Linked DNA regions of Oreochromis niloticus. The protein of the gene in region 1 interacts with the protein of each later gene in a pairwise test. Links are inferred from orthologs where the notes say so. Each region holds a gene or a part of one and is shown on either strand. Other genes may lie near its edges. The genes, in order: garem and grap2b.

Region 1 (11,267 bases):
ACATTCTTGTTTTCTTAATGATGTGCTCTACCTCAAGGTGACTGCAGAAGAAGGAAGATTCAGTTTCCTGCTGATTTTCTCAATCAGCATTGTGTAGGGTGACCCAGACGGGACTGAGACGACAAAGTTGAAATTGAAATGCACTTTGACGATACATGAATTGTCTGTGGACTGTTTCTCCTGGAAATGATGAGAGGAAATAAAAGAACTTAAAATAACAGCCAGAATTAAACATCTCAGTACTTCTCATTTTCTTTGCTTTGGCATACCTGACGCTGACGATTTCCACTAGTGGCTTCTCTTGGCGTAAGACCTTACATAAAGAAAATGTGGAAAATTAGATTTTTCACATAAGGCTCAGATATCATTGGAAAATCCTCATTTAATTTTTGTATCCTGTACCAGAAAAGCCTACCTTGTATCCTTTCAGGTCTGGTGGGTGGCTCTCGGCTTGGAGGTGGAGTTATTCCCTGTTTATAGTTGTTCCCATTCAAAATAAAGAAAAGTAAAGTCTGTGTTATTTTAAAAACTTGGAAAGAATGAAAGGAAAGCTTGGAAAGGAAACTACAATGTTTTAAGCACTGACATTACCAGAGTAATTGATTATGACACCAACAATTGAGAATAATGAAAAATAAATGCTTACCTTGTTTTTGTTAGAAGCTAAGGAGATTTCCAAACGTTCCAGATAGTTGTAAGGAACAAGGCCCTTCTGTGAAAGACATCACAGCCATGTATACTCTCAGCAGACAACAGCAATGCATTAATTGTGTGATAAAAGTACCTGATATGAATACTGGCTTCAGTGCATAAAAACAACACAATGTACTGGTGTTAAAATTTGTACAATAAGTTTCAGATGTGGAGATCTTACTCTTTCATTGAAGACCACATATGCCCAGTTGTCAGCACCCTTCTGCAACACAAACACAATATTGCCCGGCACTACAGCCAGCTCATCACTGGTCTCAGGAATAAACTCAAAGAGCACAGTGTGCGGATCTCCTTCCAAAGCCCTGTAAACACAAGAAATGTCCACATGGCATCAAGAGTGAATCCTCCCCTAGTTTTGCTGCAATAGGTGTAGGCTGCTGGGGGATTCCCATGATGCATTGAGTATTTCTTCTTCTCCCTTACTATGTCTTAATATACCTCTCTGCACTGAATCATACTTATTATGAATCTCTGGCTCTCTTCCACAGCATGTCTTTTATCCTGTCTTCCTTCTCTCACCCCAACCCTCCCTGAGCCTGGTTCTGCCAGAAATTTCTACCTGTTAAAAGGGAGTTTTTCCTTCCCACTGTCACCAGAGTGCTTGCTCATAGGGGGTCATATGATTGTTGGGTTTTTCTCTGTATGTATTATTGTAGGGTCTACCTTACAATATAAAGTGCCTTGAGGTGACTGTTGTTGTGATTTAGCTCTGTATACATAAAACTGAACTGAACTGATGTGAAATTGAAGAGACATAAGACACAAAGGTTAAAGTTGGCACTATTCTGTGTAACGGTACATTTCTATTTTCAGGTTTTAATTATTAGATCTACACTTTGAGTCACATTTTCTCTTTGTGGAAAGCAAAGTTTCATAGATATGACTCATGCTTTCCCCCATTTTGTATTTGTACTAAACATGTATAGTAGAGAATCCACATATCAAAAAAACTTGCCAACTATAACATCATTAAATACTAAGATCATTTCTGTTTAAAGAGTTTCAAATCTGCATGGATCCAAAGTGACTATCATACCTCAGAACCACAGGCTCTTTTGGACAAGTTGGACCATCTTCCACCTATCAAATAAAAAAAACACAGTCCATCAGAGACATGGCAACACACTGGAATATGTAAAGTTTCAATCTAACAGTAATTCTTAACATTGTAAAGGATTGCAGTGCTGCTCTATAATGCAGCACAAGTTCATTTCCATTTTGTTGATGTGGATCACTGGAAGCTTTTAAAACAGGCACCAAGGTAGCATATTTTAATATAAAGTAACAGAAGATAAGAACGCACTGCTGTTTCTGTCATCAAACTGTAAAGTTTTTATTGTCAATAAAAGCCAGTGTGTCACCTGAGGCTGCAATGGGGCAAATCCAGAGAACTCATCTTGAGGAACAACAGAGGCAACGACCTGATGATAAGAGGGGGGGAAAGTAGCTTATAGATATCACTCAACAATAAACTTATTGGTTTCTCTGAGTAATTTCAAATGTGTAAGTTCTGTATGTGTGTACATATATATATATAAAATGAGTGACTGACATTTTACCTAACATAATAAAATGTTGTGATGCTGACTTTTGATAGCTTTATAATCACACTAGATTAGATAGAACAGGCTGTATAACAGATCACCTTTGCTTTGCCCAGGTAGTCTTTCTTCTCCAGCTCTGCAACATAGTGCTTATTTGGTTTGAACATCTCTTTTGATTGGAACTCGACCAGTTTGAAAAGTTTCTGTTTCTGTTGGTGAAATTTCATTGTGAGTGAAACTTAAAATATTTGCCGGTGGTTAATACAGCAGTCGTGCATATCAATATCCACCTGACTTAAAGCAAAATTAGAATAAAGCATATTAGCTTACCAAATATAGGTTAATGGAATGAAGAAAAACTACTACATTTGATATCATACATGTAATCACATTTAAATGGGTTCACAAAAGTGATTGTATCACAACTGACTAGGATTGACTGCAGAGCTTTGTCGATGATATTAAACCTGGCCTCTGTCTTGTAGTCAAGAGCCTTCATGAGGTACTCCTGGGCCTTTTCCCATCTACCCAACTGAGCTTCAACCAGGGCCATATTGTGGAGAACCTGTGGAGACATTGTTAAGCTTGTGTCCTTGGCCAGGAAAAAAAACGAATGCTAAGTTGTATTATGAATGAACAGCTCATAACATCAAATGAATTATTTGGATGTAGTGTTCAGGATTAATAATAGGGCGGGTTATCAAGAATACTCACATCACAAGCATATAGTATGTATCTGAGACCAAGCGCTTTGTAATCTATTAGCTGGTTGCCCCTGAGTGTTTTAAAGGTTTTCTGGAAGTCAGCTAAACTCTCCTCATACCTTTACATAGAGACATAGAGACAAAAGTTAAAACATTTGCATATGATATACTATGAAGCATTTTTAAATAACGTCATTAAACTTAAAAAATAATATGGTCCCTTTTTTTAAAAAAAAAAAAGGAAAAAGGCAGGTGTGTCTTGCCTCTTCTTTTTGTAAAAAGTGATTCCTCTTTGAAAGAAGGCGATGGCCAAATGTTCATCCTTGCGTATGCTGCAATCAAACGCCTGAGAAACAGAAAAAAACAGTCACTTCCTCTAGAAAACATGGTAAGATCTACTTCTCCTTTCTCAGTGACTTGCGCTTTCACACAGCATATCAGAGAATTTTATTTCAGCTACTTTCAAAAGAGTTTCTTGTTTGGACTAATGTGCTGATACGACAGCTGTTAATATTTGTGTGTTTATGCTTCAGCCTGCAGATCAGACATACCTTTTCAGCAGCATCGAAGTCTTGGTTAAGAAGATGGAGACAGCCAATGTCAAAAAAAATTTTGGAGTTTGGTTCTTGAATAGCCAAGAAAATCTCAAGTGCTTTGGAGAAATCTTGTCTGTTGACGCAAGTTACCGCCTCATCCCAGTGGCGCAGAGTGTCTACAAAAGACATGTTGGCAGGTTAGGAGTACACTGAGCTACAGACCACAGTAAGGAAGTTCCTCTGATTTGTACCACTGAGAAGAGGAAGTGTGATGAAAGTCATTGTTGGTGTATATATAAATATCACATTACCACCAGGTCTTAAAGCTAAAGGGTTGTCCCTTTTTTCCCAATGTGATGTTCTGTCATCTACATGACAATTCATTATTTGTGTGTGGTATTTAAATAAAGCTAATCTGATTTTGTTATACGTTCCCATCACCACATATGTCATGCGTGTGATGTTTAGCCATAGATTTCCAGGAATGTTGACGGACAGGGTGTAGGGAATGTGATTACACAAGAACAACTTAATGATGTGTCAGTAAACAAGGATAAGATAAGAAGAAAGACTGAAAGTAATAGGGTTTTTTATTTATTTGTTTATTTATTTATTTATTGAATCACGATTTACAGCAGGTAAAAACACTTCGAAACAGGCAGTCGGTATTCTTTTTTGTTGTCTTTTAGTTATCAGAAACAGTGCAAGTGCACAAACTACAACTTCCGGCTTAAAGTTTTTAAAAACGATAGTGACCTACTAGTACAAGCTTTGCACTCTAGCACAGCTTTATTAATTCACTTGTATTGTAAATGAAATCAGTTATATTGGTGGGGTTTTTTTCTGTTGTTTACCAAAGTATGTATTCCTTACCTTCAGAAGAAAACTATTCCAGCTTCCTTGCTGTGTGGTTGGTTCTCTACCGCCTGAGCCCACCTACGCTGACTGTCTCCACCAATCACAGCAGAGCGACTTGCGCGCTGCCTCCCTCCGGCTGATCCAAACTAGCACTGGCCCCATCGGTAGTTAAACAAACATGGGTCTGCTACATTATCAGACAACGACTCTTTATGATACGTAGGCAAATTTAAAGGAAAAAATGCGAAGATTATTAAGAAACATGCCATGCGTGATATGACACCGTGGACGGAGAGTCGCTATATTATTTAGTGCGTTAGCTTAGTGTAGCCTTTTGTGACCGTGTTTACACGTAGCTAGCTCTTGTTGGCTAATGTAAGCTAGCAAAATGGACCTTGGATCAATGTTGTACAACAATTTAAAAGAAGTTACATGGAGTACCACGTCCTTACCATTAGATCAACTTGTCAGTGCTTATAAGTTGCCTCAAATTGTCAAGCTGGATAACGGCAAGTAACTTTACTTTTTCACGCCATCAGGGCAGCGCTTGTTAGCTGCTAGCTAGCAGCAAAGGCAAACTTAAGCCTGAAACATAAATCTTTGCGATTGAGTTTAGCCGTGTGACTTACCGTTTCTCAACAGTGTGGTCTAGTTTACATTACAAAATAAGCGTTTTCTTATTCTCGTTTTTTGGTTTATTTTTGGTAATGCCTTTGCATCCGTTGTGCAGATCTCACCTTTTTTGGTATTAAACGTGCAAACCCTATAGTCATTTCTGTAATGAAGTTATTCTAAGTTATTTCAGGTTTTGTAAAAACTATATTGCAACGACTGATGAGTTGTACCACATACTGTCTAGCTCCACCATTGGAAAGCCACATTTTTTAATATACATGTATTGTTGCAGGCTGAGTCGCAATGCCAATCTTATAACTAAATCGTAACCTAGTTGCTCTGTTTAAGCTGAGAAGCATCATTGTCTTCATTCTGGTTACAAAAAAGACAAGTATTTATTTATTTGTTTTTAAGAATTAAGACATGATAATGTTATGGTGCTGTGCAAAAGTATTTAGCCACCACTCATTTCTTCATATTTTGCTTACAAATAGCCAGACTTTATTGCATTTTTTGAAGTGGTCTTGAGCAATAGTTCTCCAGGTTTTCTGAAGGTTTTTCAAAGTTTTTGTAGTTCCAGTATCTGACAGTTTTCTTCAAGGACAAAAAAAAGTACCTCATTTAAATGGAGCAGCCAGTCTTCTGTATACACTCTGATTCCCATTTATTTAGTTGAGTCCACTAAAAATACCAAATTAACCAAGAACTGGACTGAAAATCAGTAGCATCAGGTCTGATGGAGCAGTGAATGCAATTTAGAAATGTTTGGTTCAGAGCATTGTGAGTATGTACAGAGAAGGTCAGGAGTGACTAAAGCCACCTGTAAAATAGGGTGGAGGCTGCACTGCAGCAACTGGTGTAAAGAAATTACAAGAAAGCTGCTTTAGAGTTTAGGCTGTGTTAAAGAATAAAGGTGGTCAAATCAAATATTTACTTTCAATTTTGTTAGAGTTGTACAAACTCTGCATTTGCGTATAGCCTGTATTTCCATGTATGTTTTCACATGTTGCAGCCATTTCCCATTTTCCTATTAAAATAAAGAAATGAGTGGGGGCTCAAGAATTTTACACAGTACTGTTACTATACCTCTAACTAAACTATATGTTAATACAATCCTGGGTCTGAACTTGTATCTTAATCAGAATCAGAATACTTCAATAATTCTGATTCTGATACAGACCTGGGTCTGAAAGTGTATATTTAAAACTACTTTATCCTCAGTTATGCCTGAAAATAAACATGCTCACTGTGCCCTGCACTTTGAGATCATTAATAATTTGAATAATTTTCTCCATCTTCCTGACACATGCTTGGCCTTTTATGGAGAACTAAAGTGGTGTATTGTACTTTGAATGATAGAGCATGCTTTTTAGAGAGGTATGGATTAGGCCATTAGTCATTGACTAATGGCCTAATCCATAGTGACTTTAAATGTGCTTGGTAATCCAATGCCTCAGTTTGAATAGAGCAGACTGTATGGCTAAAGAGTGGTATGAAAACAGAAACGGTAAAAGCAGTGTTTCTCCAAGTGATATTTAATTGAATGGCCTGTTCTCTGTAGTTATTAAGGTTCAATAGTTCTCTCATGACCCACATCCAAGACACCACCTGGTGAAAACATAGATATGAACATTTTTTGTTTTAGATGTTTTGTTGCTGGATGGTTCAGTGCTTACTTGGCGATTAATTTAAAGTTGTAATTATGCAAATTATGCTGTTTTCTGCTCTGTAAATAGTGTTTTGTTTTGTTTTTTTACTACCTGTAGGTCAGCTGGTTGAAGGGCTCAGAGACAATGACTACCTCTTGATTCATTCCTGTCGTCAGTGGACGACTATTACTGCTCACAGTCTGGAGGAGGGACATTATGTCATTGGGCCCAAAATAGAGATCCCAGTTCACTATGAAGGTGAGATGCAGCCACAGTCGATGTTTATTTAGTTTGTCTTGTAAATGGTAAATGGACTAATTCTTTTCTACTCTATCCGAGCACTGAAAGCGCTTTACAGTATTTATATGATATCCATTATCAGATATTAAATATGATATTTGATGATGCATCTTTGCCTAAACTGAAGAATTATTCACTAAAATATATAAGTCAAAAATAAATTATGTAATTTTATAGTTGTAAGTCTGTGTTGATGCAAAACGCGTGCAAAACACCATTGACATGTCTTTTCCATCTTTTCGTAGGTCAGTTCAAGTTGCTCGAGCAGGACAGAGATGTCAAAGAGCCTGTGCAGTACTACAACAGCGTGGAGGAAGTGGCCAAAGCGTTCCCTGAAAGGGTATATGTCATGGAGGAAATCATGTTCAATGTTAAGGTACATTTAATCCATCTATTTTTATGTGAGGTTTATGAATAAGGATATATAGCTATAATTCTAAACGCTTCCACCAAGAGTATTTCATAACTTTAGATTTCCAGTTAAAGTTTAAAATTTTCCAAGTTAAGTTTGGTAAAGTAGATTCATTTCATTGCGTATATCGAAATTCATGTATGTAATGTTTTCATAGATGGCTTCAGGGGAATGCAATGAAGACACAGAGGTTTACAACATTACACTAAACACTGGTGATGAACTGACGTTAATGGGCCAAGCTGAGATCCTTTACGCCAAAAGCTTCAAAGAAAAATCAAGATTCAACACCATTTTTAAGAAGATTGGAAAGCTGAACTCCATCAGTAAGATCGGTCGAGGCAAGATGCCTTGCTTGATTTGCATGAACCATCGCACCAATGAGAGCATCAGCCTGCCGTTCCAGTGCAAAGGCAGGTTCAGCACCTGCAGTCCACTTGAGCTTCAGATGCAAGACGGCGAGCACAACATCAGGAACATTGTGGAGAAAACTCGTCTCCCTGTCAATGTGACAGTACCCAGCACTCCACCCCGCAACCAGTATGACCTCCACCTTATTAGGGAGGGTCATCGGTACAAATTGGTCAACATTCAGACGAAAACAGTGGTTGTGTGCTGCATTCTGCGAAGCAATAAAATTATCCCTATCCATTTTCCGTTTCATATAGCCATGCCACGATTTATTGTTCCGGAAGAATTGCTGCAAGGAGAGTTGTGGTTAGATACTATGGTGCATCGCTGGTTTGCGTTCTGCCAGGAACAGTTTGATATCGATGACTATTCTCGTGCTGTCCGGGACGTACGAACAGACTGGAATGAAGATGGCAAAAGCCCCAAAAAAAGCAGTGGAAATGGTAGTTGTAGCAGTGGAGGAAGCGGGAGTTCAAGCGGCTGTCCCAATCATATGCAAATTCCCAGCTCTTTGACTTACGCCCGAGATGAACTCACCCAGTCCTTCCACCGACTGTCTGTGTGCGTGTATGGCAGCAACCTGCACGGTAACAGTGAGGTCAACTTGCAGGGTTGTATGACACTATGCGGAGATTGGGCTCTTATGGCTTCTGACAGTCATCCTTCAGAAGAGAATGAACACTTTTTCCCAGAGCTGTTGGACTGCACAAACCCACAACCAACCCTCAACAAGCTGGATGTTCCCTATGAGGAGCTGTGGTTGGATCACTTGAGAAGTCAGATTCCAAAAGCCTCTCAAAGCGAAGGAATCAGAGGCCTCAACAGTGACTGTGCCACAACAGCTGCACTGACAAACCCAGTCACTTGTCCTCTGGGTGCCATAACCAGCTCTGATGTGCCTCTTACTCCTCCACCAGTCCCACCAAAGTCTGAAGCTGTAAGTATAATCTATTGCACTCAAGAGTTTTCAGTCCTAGGATTGGAGTGTTAGTTGATTTGATGGCAAATACACTGACAACAAGTGTATTTTAATACTACAGCAAAAGCCAGCATGAGTAGCTGCTATGCAGTAAATTAATAAATAAAACTACTTGAAAACAACAAGTTTGATTGGCTGTTGCAGATAAAAAGCTGAACCTAAGGGTTCTTTGAAGAATGACTGTAATGTAAGAACGTAAGCTTTAGTTACTGTTTCAACATAAACTCTTTTCATCCTAGGTGAAGGAAGAATGTCGTCTTTTGAATGCGCCACCAATCCCACCACGAGGCCTGAAACAGATACCATCAGTGCCTGTCCTTTTGAAGCCACGGCAGCAAGAAACTCGGTCTCCAAGTCCAACCCTCTCCTATTATTCTTCTGGTCTCCACAACATGTAAGAATTTAAATTGTCACCCACATTCTCACAACAAATGCTGTGAGATATCAAGTTTTGTACCTTTCTATGTATACATGTATGAGGCTATTCTTATGCTATAAATTAATCTACTATTTTTCCATTAGCAGTGGAACATGTGAGCAAGAAGGAACTGACCCACAAGAGCAAAGCCACGTGTGCTACCCTTGCAGCTGGGCTAATTCCAGCAGCACTGAACCGAAGGCTGCTTCGCCCAGTGGTAGCTTGCCGTCAGATGGAGTTTCATCGCGGTTGTCTTGGCCAAATCATTTCAGTGGAGGGGATTCACATTGCATGGACGAGTTTCTGCCTACAACCTGTCGAAGTTACTACAGTTACCCCAGAAAGAGAACCCCAAGCACTCCAAAAACCTGTACAACCAGCCTTGTTGACTTTGATGGCCGAGAGTATGCACACCGCAGTAAGGACTTTGACTTGCCGAAAGCATCTCTGAGTCCTTTCTGCAACAAATCTTCAAGCTGCAATTCAGAAATGTACAGCGACAAGCTAATAGATGCATCTAACACCAAGCAGAGCCTCTCCTGCCCTATCCTGCCACCAAGAACACCAAAATCAAATGCCATAAAGAAGTGCACAGATGTACTGTCAGAGTCAGCCTGTGACAGTAAGCCGGAAACTTTATATTCCTCACTTGCTCAACATGAGCAGGGAACAAAAGAGATACACTCCATCTCTAACACTCCAACTGTTAACTCTCCATCCTTGTCTCACACTACACAGTGGCAGCCACCACCGAGCTTGGCTGGCCTTTCAATTGAAGAGGTCTCCAAATGTCTGAAATTTATTGGCCTGCCAGATGACATTGTTTCTCTTTTCGTGTCAGAAAAGATTGATGGGAATCTACTCCTGCAGCTCACCGAGGAGATTTTGTCTGAAGACTTCAAGCTAAGCAAACTGCAGGTGAAGAAACTCATGCAGTTCATAAATGGGTGGAGACCCAAGATATAACAGTATGTAACTTAAAAACTCCTGTAAAGCTGAGAACATCCTGCCTTCAGTTTGTATGCTATGCACATCAAGCCACAAAGAGTTTCTTTTTGTATAGTATGAACTTATTTCCTTGTTACTACATGGTGGGGAAGACAAGTGGGTAATACCCACTTAAAGTCTATGGCTCCTATTTGCTAACTGAATGGAATCATTTGGCACTTTCACAAAGACATTTACATGTCAATTGCTTACTTTTTCACCCACGACCTATTCATGTCACTACACAGATACTAATTTAAGCCAGGGAATTGAAAGAAATCCACATAATCGTTTTAATGTGAGAGCTATATGAAGACAATGTTGTCTTTTGTTAAAGGAGAGTGTCACAGAATTTTGCTGCGATTAGCTGGATGTTTAAAAGAGCACGAACTAGAAAATATTTTATATATATATCTATATATATAGATATATATATATATACACACATATTAGTACAGCCGACTGCCAATAATATTAGGAGTAATTACAGAAAACCCAAATCTTTTTTGGGAGAAGTGGTATCAGGTGACAGGACGATGGTTAATTGTCTAACTTTGGAAAATTAATTATTGCATATAGTCAATCCGACAGGGTTTTGTTTGCCCTCAGAATTTGCATCCCCTCAATATAACTGTGCTAATAACAGTGAGCTACGTTAAGTCATTATCTGCAGCAGGGTTTAAAGGTGACACTTCCTATGCAGGAGCTCTTTTTTGTTTGCGTCTCAAGTTAAACACTCCGTATTTTAACCTAAAATGTCTCGGCTAAATGTCACTTTGGGTTATTTAAGCCTGAAAAGAAATTAGTTATATCTAACCAAATTCTGTCCTTTCTTTTAAACTCACATGGAGATAACCAAAAGCACCAACAGATCTTGGCGTCCAATATAAATGAAAAATTAAATGCATCATGCACTTTGGTAGATTTCAGATTAAATATTGCAGTTAAGGTCATTAAATATAATTGATGAGATTGTTTATGTAGAGAATGAATGCACTACATTTTTTTAATTGCAAGGGTACTCATTTGTTTCTACTGTATGTATTGGTAAGTGTTACCTACAATATTTGCGAGACAGAAGTAATAGTTTTTTGCGCCTTAACCCAGAGACCTTAAACCATTTGATATTTTCCTTTGACG
Region 2 (11,267 bases), on another chromosome or scaffold:
CAATATTTTATCAGCCTCTTTTTATAAGAGCCCACTCATCATCCAAATCATCATTCATCACATTAAACTTCATTCATTTTAAAGGAGTCAATTCTTTTATGAAGATTTATGATGTTTAAATTGTAACAACAGGCTCCGATGTGCCATTTTTTTTTATTTTAAGTATGCATTAGAGATACTACCACGATTATTTCTGTCATGTACAAGTTTCACTTAAGGGAATGGGAACTGTCAACAATATGAATGTAAGAAGGAATTTTGTTGTGCTGAGACTCATTGATGGCCGCGATGTTTTTAAATCCTGGTGGGACTCTTTTTGTTTTCAGGGTTTTTTTTAGATTTCCAAGAAAACTGCTCATCAAAGCACTCAAAATCTTCCCTTTCTTCCTCACTCTCTTCCCTCCTCCTCGCACTTGGACACACATGGGGGAGAAGCCGAGTAGAGTTAAGCGAGGTAAACTGAATGAAATGTGATGTGTGCTCACAGAATATTTATCATACATCTCCGTCTCTCTGTCAAATACATTTATCTCTTCCTCTTCTAGGTGCGCTCACTCAGTCACCCTCCAGATTCTGAAGTACCTCAACACCTAAAAGATGCGACTGTCACCAAGCACGAATGCACACAGACACACACACACAGTCACGGACATCATGCAGAGTTAACAGGCCCATTAATGCTGAATGGCAGCTCTGCATTGAGCCATGTACAAGTCCTTTCCATCTTTGAAAACAGAGCTTTATGAGCTCTGTCATGAAACTAGATGGGATATTTCATGGCCCAGGCCATTAAATGCAGTCAACAGTGTGTCGCACACACAAACAAATACGTACACATGCAGGCACACACACACCCACACAAACACAATGCCTTATTACACCTGTACCCCCTTTGTTTTTCTTGATCCTGCATAATAAGCTGCAAAACAACAGATCCATGTACAGCTGCAGGTCACCTTGGAAACAGCTACCAAATGATTCTTTTAGCATTATAAAAATAAATAAATAAAAAATCATGCACATAAGCATCTGCAAGGTTGCATGGAGTCCATTTATCGGCCCCCTCATGGTAGGAATGCCGATTGTTTAGGCGCTGCTTCTTTTTTTTTCAGTTTTTTAAAATCACATTTTCTTTCAGCCTAGACGCAGGATGAAATGCCCGGCTAACACCACATGGGGATCTGAGCATCCATGGCAGGCCAACCACTGAGACCGACTGTGAATATCAGAGTGAGAGACAGAGACAGGAAAACCAACAGTGTGTTGGTGGTGGCAGAATCTGCTTGCTTTGGCCCCAGCTGCATTTCCATATGTACTCTACTTCAGCACTTCCTTTCTGTTAGGCTATCTGTACCGTCTGCCCTTTCTTTGTAGCATACCAAGTGCTTTTAGCTACAAGTCACACTATACACTCACACAGTGCTGCAACCACTTTATCTACCTCACATCCATGGCCAATTTACAATCACCAATTAACCTAAAATGGACATCTCTGGACAGTGAGGAAGCCAGAGTACCCAGAGGAAACAAATGTAGGCTGAGGAGAACGTGCAAAATCCAACGGAAAGGCCTCAGCTGGGATTTGAACCAGGAGTCTTCTTGCTATGAGGCAATTGTGCTAACCATGCATACTGTGCACTCATTTTTGCATCAAGTCACCATTTCTCAGGGCACCCTGTGACCTCTGTATGACCTCTGCTTCTTATGCGGACCATATATTGATCTCTTTGTTTCACTCTTTCAGTGTTTGGAGATTTGACCCTTTAAAGGGCAGAAGGCACCTGTCTCTGCAGGAGCCTGGGCTAATGTGTTGACATCACAAACCGTTCTCGTGATATTGTTAAGAATTCCCTTGAACTCTGTCACCACTTTTGGATTGAACAGTTTCACAGTTTTAGTTTCAGGTTCGTTTTAATCAATAGTTTCTATTGATTTGACCCACACTAGTGGCTCAAAAACACCTGAATGGATAAATAAGCCATTTATTCAGGCTAATGTAAAAAAAAAACAGCCAGAGGTTGTAAAAGTAGAAATCACCTGTACAAGACTATTTATGTTTAAATGTATCCATTTTGGTGTATTTTTGGTCACTTCAAGCTAAAAAAAAAAAGAAGAAGAAAAGCTTTAAAATTGGCAGCACGGTGGTTAGCACTGTTACCTCGCAGCAAGAAGGCCCTGACTTCACTTCCATCACCAGGCTGGAGATTTTTCTGTGTGGAGTTTGCATGTTCTTTCCAGGTACTCTGGCTTCCTCCAGCATTGGAAAGACAAGGAGTTAGTAGGAATAGGTTAACTGGAAACTCTAAATTGCCCGTGGGCGTGAATGGTTGTCTGTGTCTATGTGTTAGCCCTGTGACAGACTGGCGAACTGTCCAGGGTGTCCCCTGCCTCTCACCGTGAAACAGCTGAGATTGGCTCAGCTCACATATACCTGGAACAATCAGCACAAAAAACAGTACAGATGTGGTTCCCATTTGAAGCATTCTGATGACTTTTAGTGCAAAGTTCTTTTCTTTTCCCCAGCTTTTCCAATGAGTGCATTTCAGAGCTCCTAGCAGCAGCATGAACTGATTTGGTAGCATCAGTCCTTTTTATTCTCTGATTCTTTGGCTCTGTCTTGTAGTTATTTGACATTTTATTGTCATTTCTATCAGACAACACGGTGGTGCCCTTTAAAAGGACAGAGACAAATCACTGCATCCATCAGTGCAGCGATTTCATGCCACTTGAGTTTGGCATCTTTGCTCTCACCAGCCGATCCAAGCGAATCAAAAGGTGGCCAGATAGCATCACAAGAGATATAATAGCAGCAGAACAGTGAGTGCCCCAGTGCTAAAGCACAGATTTTGTGCTACAAGCATGCAAATGAAAAAGCTCAGCAATCAGGGTGAATTGTATCCATATCTGTGACATCATACACCTGAAAACTATTCAGAATTTAACCTAATCTGTGCCTAAGAAAGATACTGACATGTCACTGGCTTGTTATTTATTGACACAAATTTTCTCCTCCTACCTGATCCTACTCTCCTCTCATTCTTCCGTATATGCAGTTATAAATAAATAACACAATATATTTTAGATAAATTATTTGGCTTGAAGTGAAAATCGGTAAATTGGGAGGCCTCTCTTGCCAACAAATTGAATATTTTCTCATATTCTTATTACCTAAAATCAAATGAAACCCAAATAAGCACAAAAATGATCTGGTTCATGATCTGCAGTGTCACTTTGTGTTTCTCTGAGTTTGTGTCTATAATGGTCTTTACTGACTTGAAAAACATCTCAACCTTTTTTCCCTGAAGTCTGCTGCCACCATGTGGCAAACACAGAGCAACACTCAGTCTTTACATTTTGCAAACACATCCACTTCAGATGTCGAACAAGACCAAGTACAAAATTCCTATTTTGCCATAGTATGGTCATCTCAGGCACACAGTCCTGGCTTAAAGGAAGGGTGATTTTAAAGAAAAGGAGAGGATAAACTAATTGGCTTTACCAAAGCCCACCATTTGGTAAAAGAGTTATTTGAAACTATGAATCATGCAAAGCTTCTATAGTTGGTTCTTGTGACTGACTGGTAGATTCTTAGCAAAATATCTAATTTTTTCGACAGCAGGACTTACGGCTTCACATTTTCAACATATGTCCCCACTTCAGGAAGCAGAGGGAAGAGTGAGGCAGAAAGGATTTTCCCAAAATTGAAAATTGTGGAAGTGGAGGCAGACAGAGCGGTCAGCAGATGAGGTGGAGGAAGGACTGATTTAAGAACAAGGCGCTGGAAGCTCAGAGGAAGACATACCAGCTTCTGAGGAGCCATGGACAATGTGATGGCACCCACCATCACATTGCATAATGGATGGAAAAATAGGAAAAACAATGTAATTTAGGCCTCTGAAGTTTTGCATAAGGAAAAAAATGTCAGAGCACACAAACCAGAGCATGGTGCTCATCCCTGATGGCAGCACTAAAAATGAAAACATTCTGGAGCATATATGTTCACACCATGACTCAGATAACCAAGATATCCCAGTTATACCCAAATCATTCTTCAAGATTAGGTAGCCCATTAAGGTAACAAATGGTCATGATGTCCCTAATAAGCTAGAAAGAATAAAGCCTCCTGTCAGCTATGTAAAGAGTGGTCATTGTTTGCAGACACAAATAAAATGCAGGGGACAAAGGCGAACATTTGATGCAGGAATGATGAAAGGAAAATACAGTCTAATGATAGAAAGCAAAAGACCAGGACCCACAAGGAATAATTCCACCAAGAGGGGAAACACTAGGAACACACAGCAAAACGATGACTCAAAGGACAAGGGGACATGAAGGCAGTAAATATAAATGATAATAAGGCCAGGGATAACAAGACAAGGGAATATAAAGCACAGGTGACAAAACACTACCAACGTAAAACAGGAAGTGACTAAACAGAGATGACAAATTCAAACATACAAACCTGACACGGCGGGGCACAGGGGGAAACTAGGACAAACAACAACAGACTGTACAAACATGCCAAACAAGAATAAACAATGAACATTAAAGAATAATAAAGGATCTTCAATTATTGCACTTGTCACTCAGTTATTCCTCAGAGCTCACGTCTCCTGCCAAGTTCATTTTTATAGCATTGTCACCTGGGAAACAAAATTATTTCACATGTAAATAAAGTTAAACACATGCATGCTGTTTGTGAGAGCATCGGCTGCACCACAGCAGAAGCTCCAGCTGTGGGAAAAAGTTCAAACCGCAGTTCACCTGCTGGAGAAATGTTTAATAGGTCATCGTTACATCAGTGGAAAAGTTCACAGAAGCTAAACTTCCCCTGTTGAGTTTGAAGCTGAGGTGGACTGATGAAATGTCAGTGCCTCTGTGGCTTTCTTTGATATACTAATATTGTTGATACAGTTCGATGTGCTACGGCAAAGTCTGCAATTAGTGATGTTTTTTCTTCTCTGATTGGTTAAGCATTTGATTTTCTTCTGCAAATCCCCGTCCTTTCCATTTGCAGCTTTGCCAGATTGAAGTCAATGCTTTCATCTCTTTGTAGTGTTTCTCTGTGAGGACTGTGTATTTAGCAAATAGCTCTTGGCCAACAATCAACCACAATAATAAAAGCACCGGCAGATGAAGTGAATATTTCTGATCATCTTTTGAAGGACATAGTTCTGCGGGGAAACCCTAACATTCATGTGGATGTTAGTTTAACAAGCACTGCCTACCTCAGCAATGCAGCCAAACAGCACACCTTCACGGGCATTCCCCAGTCACAGGAGAATGCACCCTACCAGGAAAACAAAAGTTAAAATCCAAGGATGTCCATTCATCTATCCAGCCTAACCACTGTATACTCTGTATATCTTCTAATTTGCATTCTAAGATATTAACAACTTTTAGATCATGCTGTCAGGGGGCTGTCCAGTCTGTCATGTGTTTCGTGTGTGTGTCCACGTTGTCAAGCTTGTGTGTCATGTCTACGTTCCATTATGTTTCCTGTTATATTTTGAAAGTCTTGTGTTCCCATGGTCAGTGTGTTTAGTTTTGCTTCCCTTGTGGTGTCATGTTCATTTGTGTCAGCTGTGTTTCCCCAGGTGTTTCCACTCCCCTCATTATCCTTCTCATTATATCATATCTTTATCATTATCCTTATGTGTATTTTAGTCCTCTGTCTTCCTCCGTTCAGAGTTGGTCTGTCTGTTTACCTTGTGTCAGGTCGGGCCTCAGAGTTTTTCACGCAACTGTTCTTCACATTCATGTCTTGTATGTACCTGTTCAGTTCCATGTTCATGTCTCTCGTCATTGTTTTCATAGTTAGTTTAGTTATTTCACACTTTAGGTCTTCTTGTCCCTTTGTTTTGCAGTCAGCCTAATAAAGGCTCGCTTTTTGTTTAAACCTCTGTTCTTCTCTCACATATCTGCATTTGGGTCCACACCGCAAACACACCGGCCCACCGAGCTGTAACACATACTAATATTAAGCATGTTGGGGTTTTGTTATTTGGGTTACATGTGCTGGAAGACTGAGTCAACTGAGTACCAGAGTTTCTTCTCAATCAAATACAATTCAAAAATGCATTAAAGAGCTCTGTCTGTTAAAAAGCATTTTTAAAGCAAACTATTCTGCATGCTAGGTGAAAAAAATGTGACAATTAATGTGACAGAAAAACCATTTTAATGTGACGGGGTACTAATGGGGGAATTTACCACTTAGACAGTCTGACCATTAGGGATTTTACAGGCTGAGGAAAAAAGGGGAAAAATACATAGTTTCAAGATAATGCCAAAATACGCTTGATCAGAAATTCCATACAAACACCACAAACTAAAGCACTTCCTCTGAGGTGAGTAAAGACCTTGAATGAGGCTTACTAGGGCAACAGGGACCATAGAAAGGGGATTTGGCACATGCACACAACACAAACTAAAACTGAGCACCAAAGTGTCGCATAATAAAGGTCAAGCTATTACTGGTCAACAACAGCCAGTCCTGTTCAGCGAAGAGGAAAAATAAAAAGGTGTAAAATTACTGTCAGCTGGATTTAGTTAATGGCAGCTTGGCTTAATATTCATGACAATCAGCTATCATGATGAAAGCAACAAAAACACTTGAACTTCAACCAATTTACAAGCTTGTTGGGGCCCTAACAAAACATCTGCAGGGGGCCTCCAACCAGCATTGGTTGGTCCAACCATTGTTTATTGTAGAGGCTAAGTCTACGCTTGAAGTCATTGAGGTGTTCAGTGAGCAGGTTTGGCGTGATGCCACTGTTATGAATGAAAACCTGCAGTACTGATAAAATCCAATAACTCCAGCGTTGCTTATCCTGTCAGCTTAAGCATGTATTGCTCAACATTGATTGCCTTTGCCATTCCACAGTTCATCTTAATATTCAACATAAATCACAACAGCACAGCGGTCACAAGCTGTTTGGTCCCTCCAAACAACAACACCCTAATTAAATCTTCCTACTTTTAATAAGATAAGATAAGATAAGATAACCTTTATTAGTCCCACACGTGGGAAATTTGTTTTGTCACAGCAGGGAGTGGACAGTGCAAAAGTTATGAAGCAAAAATTAGAATAAAATAAAATAAGAATAAATACAGTACACAACTGTACAGAATAGAATAAAATAAAATACTATATACAGTAGAATAAAATAGAATAAAATATACAATAAGATAAAAATAGAATACAAATGCTTTATACAACTGAGTAAAAAATACAACGATGCCAGGAAGATTATTGCACTTAGTGTTATTGCACATGTGTGTGTTTGATCAGTTAAAGTCTTTGTTGTGGAGTCTGACAGCAGTGGGGAGGAAAGACCTGCGAAATCTCTCCGTCCCGCACCGTGGGTGCCGCAGTCTCCCACTGAAGGAGCTGCTCAGTGCTGTCACAGTCTCATGCATGGGGTGGGAGATGTTGTCCAACAGGGATGACAGCTTAGCCGCCATTCTCCTGTCACTCACCACCTGTCATTTACAAACACAACAAGTAACACATAGCGACACACATAAGGTAATAAACAGAACATGTATAAAACACACATATACAAACATATTATAAATAGAGTTGTTTTTTTTTTGTTTTTTTTCTTTAATATTTAGTTTGGGTTTCCAAGTACAGCAATAAAGCTGCCTTCTTAAGTTAATTCCCTAGTCTCCTCTAAAAGTGCCACTAACCCATCCTCTCCTATCTGGCAGTCCTCAGGTGCTCCACTGCTTGATCCCTGTCTTGCAAACACGTATCCAAGCTATACTAAGCTACTTGCCTGCCTTGTCTGGTGGAAAACCTCTGACACAAGAAACACAGAGAATGCACAAAATAAACTTGGCACATAATGACAAGCTGTGGGAAGGGAGGGTTTTTGTAGATCCAAGAAGCAGTTTATTACTGTGGCCAGCAGCAATGGCCACATTAAAAAAAATCAAAGCTGGTATTGTGCAAATTTCAAGTATAACCAAACAAAACTAACTCTGTATAATGAAGCAACCTGTGAAACCAGAGGGAGAAAAGAGTGACAAAGCAACACTAGCCAAAGAAAGACAAAATACACATGAAATACTTCAGTTTGCCAGAGAGCACAAAAGTATTTCAGGTGAAAGACAAATGTGCTTAAAATGTCTTGGGTGCAACCACAAGCCAGTCATAGTATGTCGGTAAACACACGTGTAACAACACCTCAGGCAGTTGTGACAGACAGAGACTTAAAAAACCTTTATCACAGCTTTGTTTTTCTTTGATTTGTTTGGTAAATAGACTTTAGTCAACATGATTTACAGTTACATATAAAATAATGACCTAAACATTTTACCTATATTATAATAAATCCAGTCGATTTTGACTGTTTGCAATAACTTTATAGAACTATAATATTTTCTTCTGCTGCGTTTTTTTTTTTTTGTTTGTTTTCCCTGATCTCTTTGCCAACAGATAAACAGATGCATAGAAAGGCTCCTATCTGTTTCTATGCATCTCTGCACTGTGTCTATTTCAGTGCATGTGAGTGTATGCTGGCCAGAGGTGACGGTGTTTCCTGTGAACTGACAAGGAGTTCGTCACCTCTCTTTGTAAATTTCTCACTTCTCTTCGTAAGCCGCATGAACGCAGCTCTGTCTGGAGAACAGTACAAAGGGGGGTGAGTAAACCTAACATTTTTGCCTCTTTGATGAGGTACTTGGCAAGTCGTCATTTTGAGTTATGGCTAGCTGCCCTCCTGTTTTCCGAGCAGCCGCATTGCTCCTGGTTCTCTGAAGACACAATGCGCAGCCCTTCAAATAAAACTGTTTTGTGTGTGTGTGTGTGTGTGTGTGGACAAAATTCAAGGTGAGAAAATATGCTTTACGGGCGCTTAAAGGATTTTGTTGTAGAGGTGCTAACACAGGTTGTAGTCGTAAAGGATGCACGGAAAGGACGTAGCGACTGTCCTTGATTGAGTGGGGAATTATTCCGTCCATTAAGATACTAGAAGAGCACCAACTGATGTCAGTGCCATGTTTCTTTTGATGGGTGACTTACACACGTCTGTTTTCCCGGCTCATTAATCACTTCAGTATTTTTATCTGAGCACACAGGAGTACTTCTAACCTTTTGTTTCTTCATCCCTTCTTAGGTTTGTCTACGATGGAAGCTACGGCCAAGTTTGACTTTGAAGCTAATGCGGAGGATGACCTGAGCTTCAAAAGAGGAGACTGCTTGAAAGTAAGGATCACACACAGACATGCAAACACTTCCTTGGTTTGCTTTTAGCAACAGCACTCTTCACACAAGTTATAAAAAGTTGTCAGCATGCAAAAACATTCAAATGTCAGGTTTTATATATATATATTGCATATAATCCAGAGTATTTCCATGTATATTAGTGCTTTATCACACTTGTACAACAATGGTGCACTGTACTATTCTCTGAAGCCCTCTTCAGTTCTCTGTGCAGCCAACCACGACTGCATCCTGCTGCTTAAGTCCGAGTTTCCTTCCTGTTTACGTTGCCATTGCAACAAAATCTTTATATCTTCTTGACAGAATCAAAAAGTAAAATCATATAGCAGAGGTGAACGCACAAATAACATCAAACTACCAGACAAACAGATACAATAATTCTTGACTCACCTTTCACACATTGCTTTTGTTAGCTAAGCACCTTGCTGAAGCATTAGTTCAAGTATATACAGCTGCAACCTTAATCTAGGTGCTTTATTGTTATGATATGTTTCAAACCATGTGAACAATGGAAAAACATGTTCCGGTGTAAACCTCTCAGAAAAGCTGTTAAAAGTGAGGTCTCCTGTAAAAAGGTGTTGGCTTTTGTAACCCGCTGCAGGCCGAGCCAGTTTTATTTCTGCACTGCAGCATGTAGCGCAGGTACATCCACTGCACCCGGCATTAAAACACTTCCATCGGTGTATTGGTGTATAGCATGTGGACATACACAAAAGGTATACAAGGAAATGGATCAGCAAATAACTTTACAAACACCCACAGCTATCTCACACAGTCAAACCACAAACACACACACGACTAATCATAACTGAGTGAAAAAATATTCTCAGTTTCCACAGTCTAGGTCATCTGGTACTTTGGCCTAGTAAATGGCTTAAAAGGACCCATCTATATCTATATGTTTATATCTATATCTCTAGATATAGATATAGATATAAAAACTACTACACAGCTTACTGGAACACTTGAACATCACAGTAAAACACAAAGTCTCTACATAATCATGCATCTTCAGGGAAACTTAAAACACTGTTAGTACAAGCGACAGTGACAACCAATACACTTGGAGAAGTAACAAGAGAACCCCAAAGAAAATGGTTTTGCAGGCGATTTCTCCGTAGCTCCCCTGAATTTTCCTTGAGTTTTGCTTTTTTATTAGTTTCCTTGTCACTGCTGGTAGCACCAGACAATACCTGCAGCCCATTCAGGTTGTACATGTAGTCTGACTCGTACAGGAGGGAAGTGTTGCTGTGTCTTCCAGCACAGTCTCAGGAGTGTAGGAGGAGATACAAGGAGACAGGCTGTTACACGGGGACAGTGTTGGTCAAGTTACTTGACAAAAGTAATTAGTTACTAATTACTGATTACTTGTCCAAGAAAGTAATCCTGTTACTTTAATGATTACTTATTTCCCAAAGTAATTAGTTACTTTATTACTGAGTTACTTTTTAAAAACATGACACCTCAATATGTAATAAAGTAATAGATCTTTCAGCCCAATTCTATTTTTTCTGCATAATCCATCATATAAAATTGAATCAAATGAATGCAACAGTCTTTGACTTGAAGAAATTAATTTAAAATTTAAACCTATTTTCTGCATATTCCAGCATATAAGATAAAATAATTTGTTGTGTTTACACTCACTCTTTCAAATATATGCAAGTAAAACACAAAAATGAATAAAATCAAAGATTCAGCGACAATAAGTCCTGTTGCTCTTAAATCTATTTTCACCTGTTTAGCAGGAGTGGGGCGGGTGGACGTTTGCCTGATGCTGCAGCTGTTGTGTCAGTGGGGGGATCCAGGGGTTTCTCTGTGAGTTTCACACACCCGTGGCAGCGTGCTAGGTGCTTGCTCAGATTTGAAGTTAAATTTTTTTGCTGTAGAAAGTTTTCTACAGTTTTTTTCCCACGCAGAGTGAACAGCGGACGCTAATGTTTTTGTCACTTTTTACAGAATCAAACTCAAAGTAATGTCAGTGCTTCCACGCTTTAATGCTGCATGGTCGTACTCTCTCCCGGCGTTCCATCATCCA

Evidence for each region.
Region 2: the proteins of garem (region 1) and grap2b interact in binary tests that used the Homo sapiens proteins (3 or more experiments, as listed by UniProt). The link is inferred for Oreochromis niloticus from reciprocal best matches to the Homo sapiens genes GAREM1 and GRAP2.

What each region holds. Positions count from the first base shown.
Region 1 is NC_031974.2:25,537,910-25,549,176, forward strand, and holds the start of garem (GRB2-associated and regulator of MAPK protein 1), read left to right. Parts: upstream 1-4,462; 5' UTR 4,463-4,744; coding exon 4,745-4,865; intron 4,866-6,737; coding exon 6,738-6,878; intron 6,879-7,165; coding exon 7,166-7,296; intron 7,297-7,489; coding exon 7,490-8,680; intron 8,681-8,961; coding exon 8,962-9,116; intron 9,117-9,244; coding exon 9,245-10,106; 3' UTR 10,107-11,267. Other genes in the region: ncf2 (neutrophil cytosol factor 2), read right to left, coding at 32-180, 270-313, 416-470, 647-712, 875-1,016, 1,751-1,794, 2,076-2,135, 2,360-2,467 and 4 more.
Region 2 is NC_031971.2:8,430,163-8,441,429, forward strand, and holds the start of grap2b (GRB2-related adapter protein 2b), read left to right. Parts: upstream 1-5,658; 5' UTR 5,659-5,718; exon of another isoform or gene 5,719-5,766; intron 5,767-8,443; exon of another isoform or gene 8,444-8,507; 5' UTR 8,508-8,648; intron 8,649-8,691; exon of another isoform or gene 8,692-8,836; intron 8,837-8,845; exon of another isoform or gene 8,846-8,994; intron 8,995-9,122; 5' UTR 9,123-9,133; coding exon 9,134-9,211; intron 9,212-11,267. UniProt on the Homo sapiens protein: Interacts with SLP-76 to regulate NF-AT activation. Binds to tyrosine-phosphorylated shc.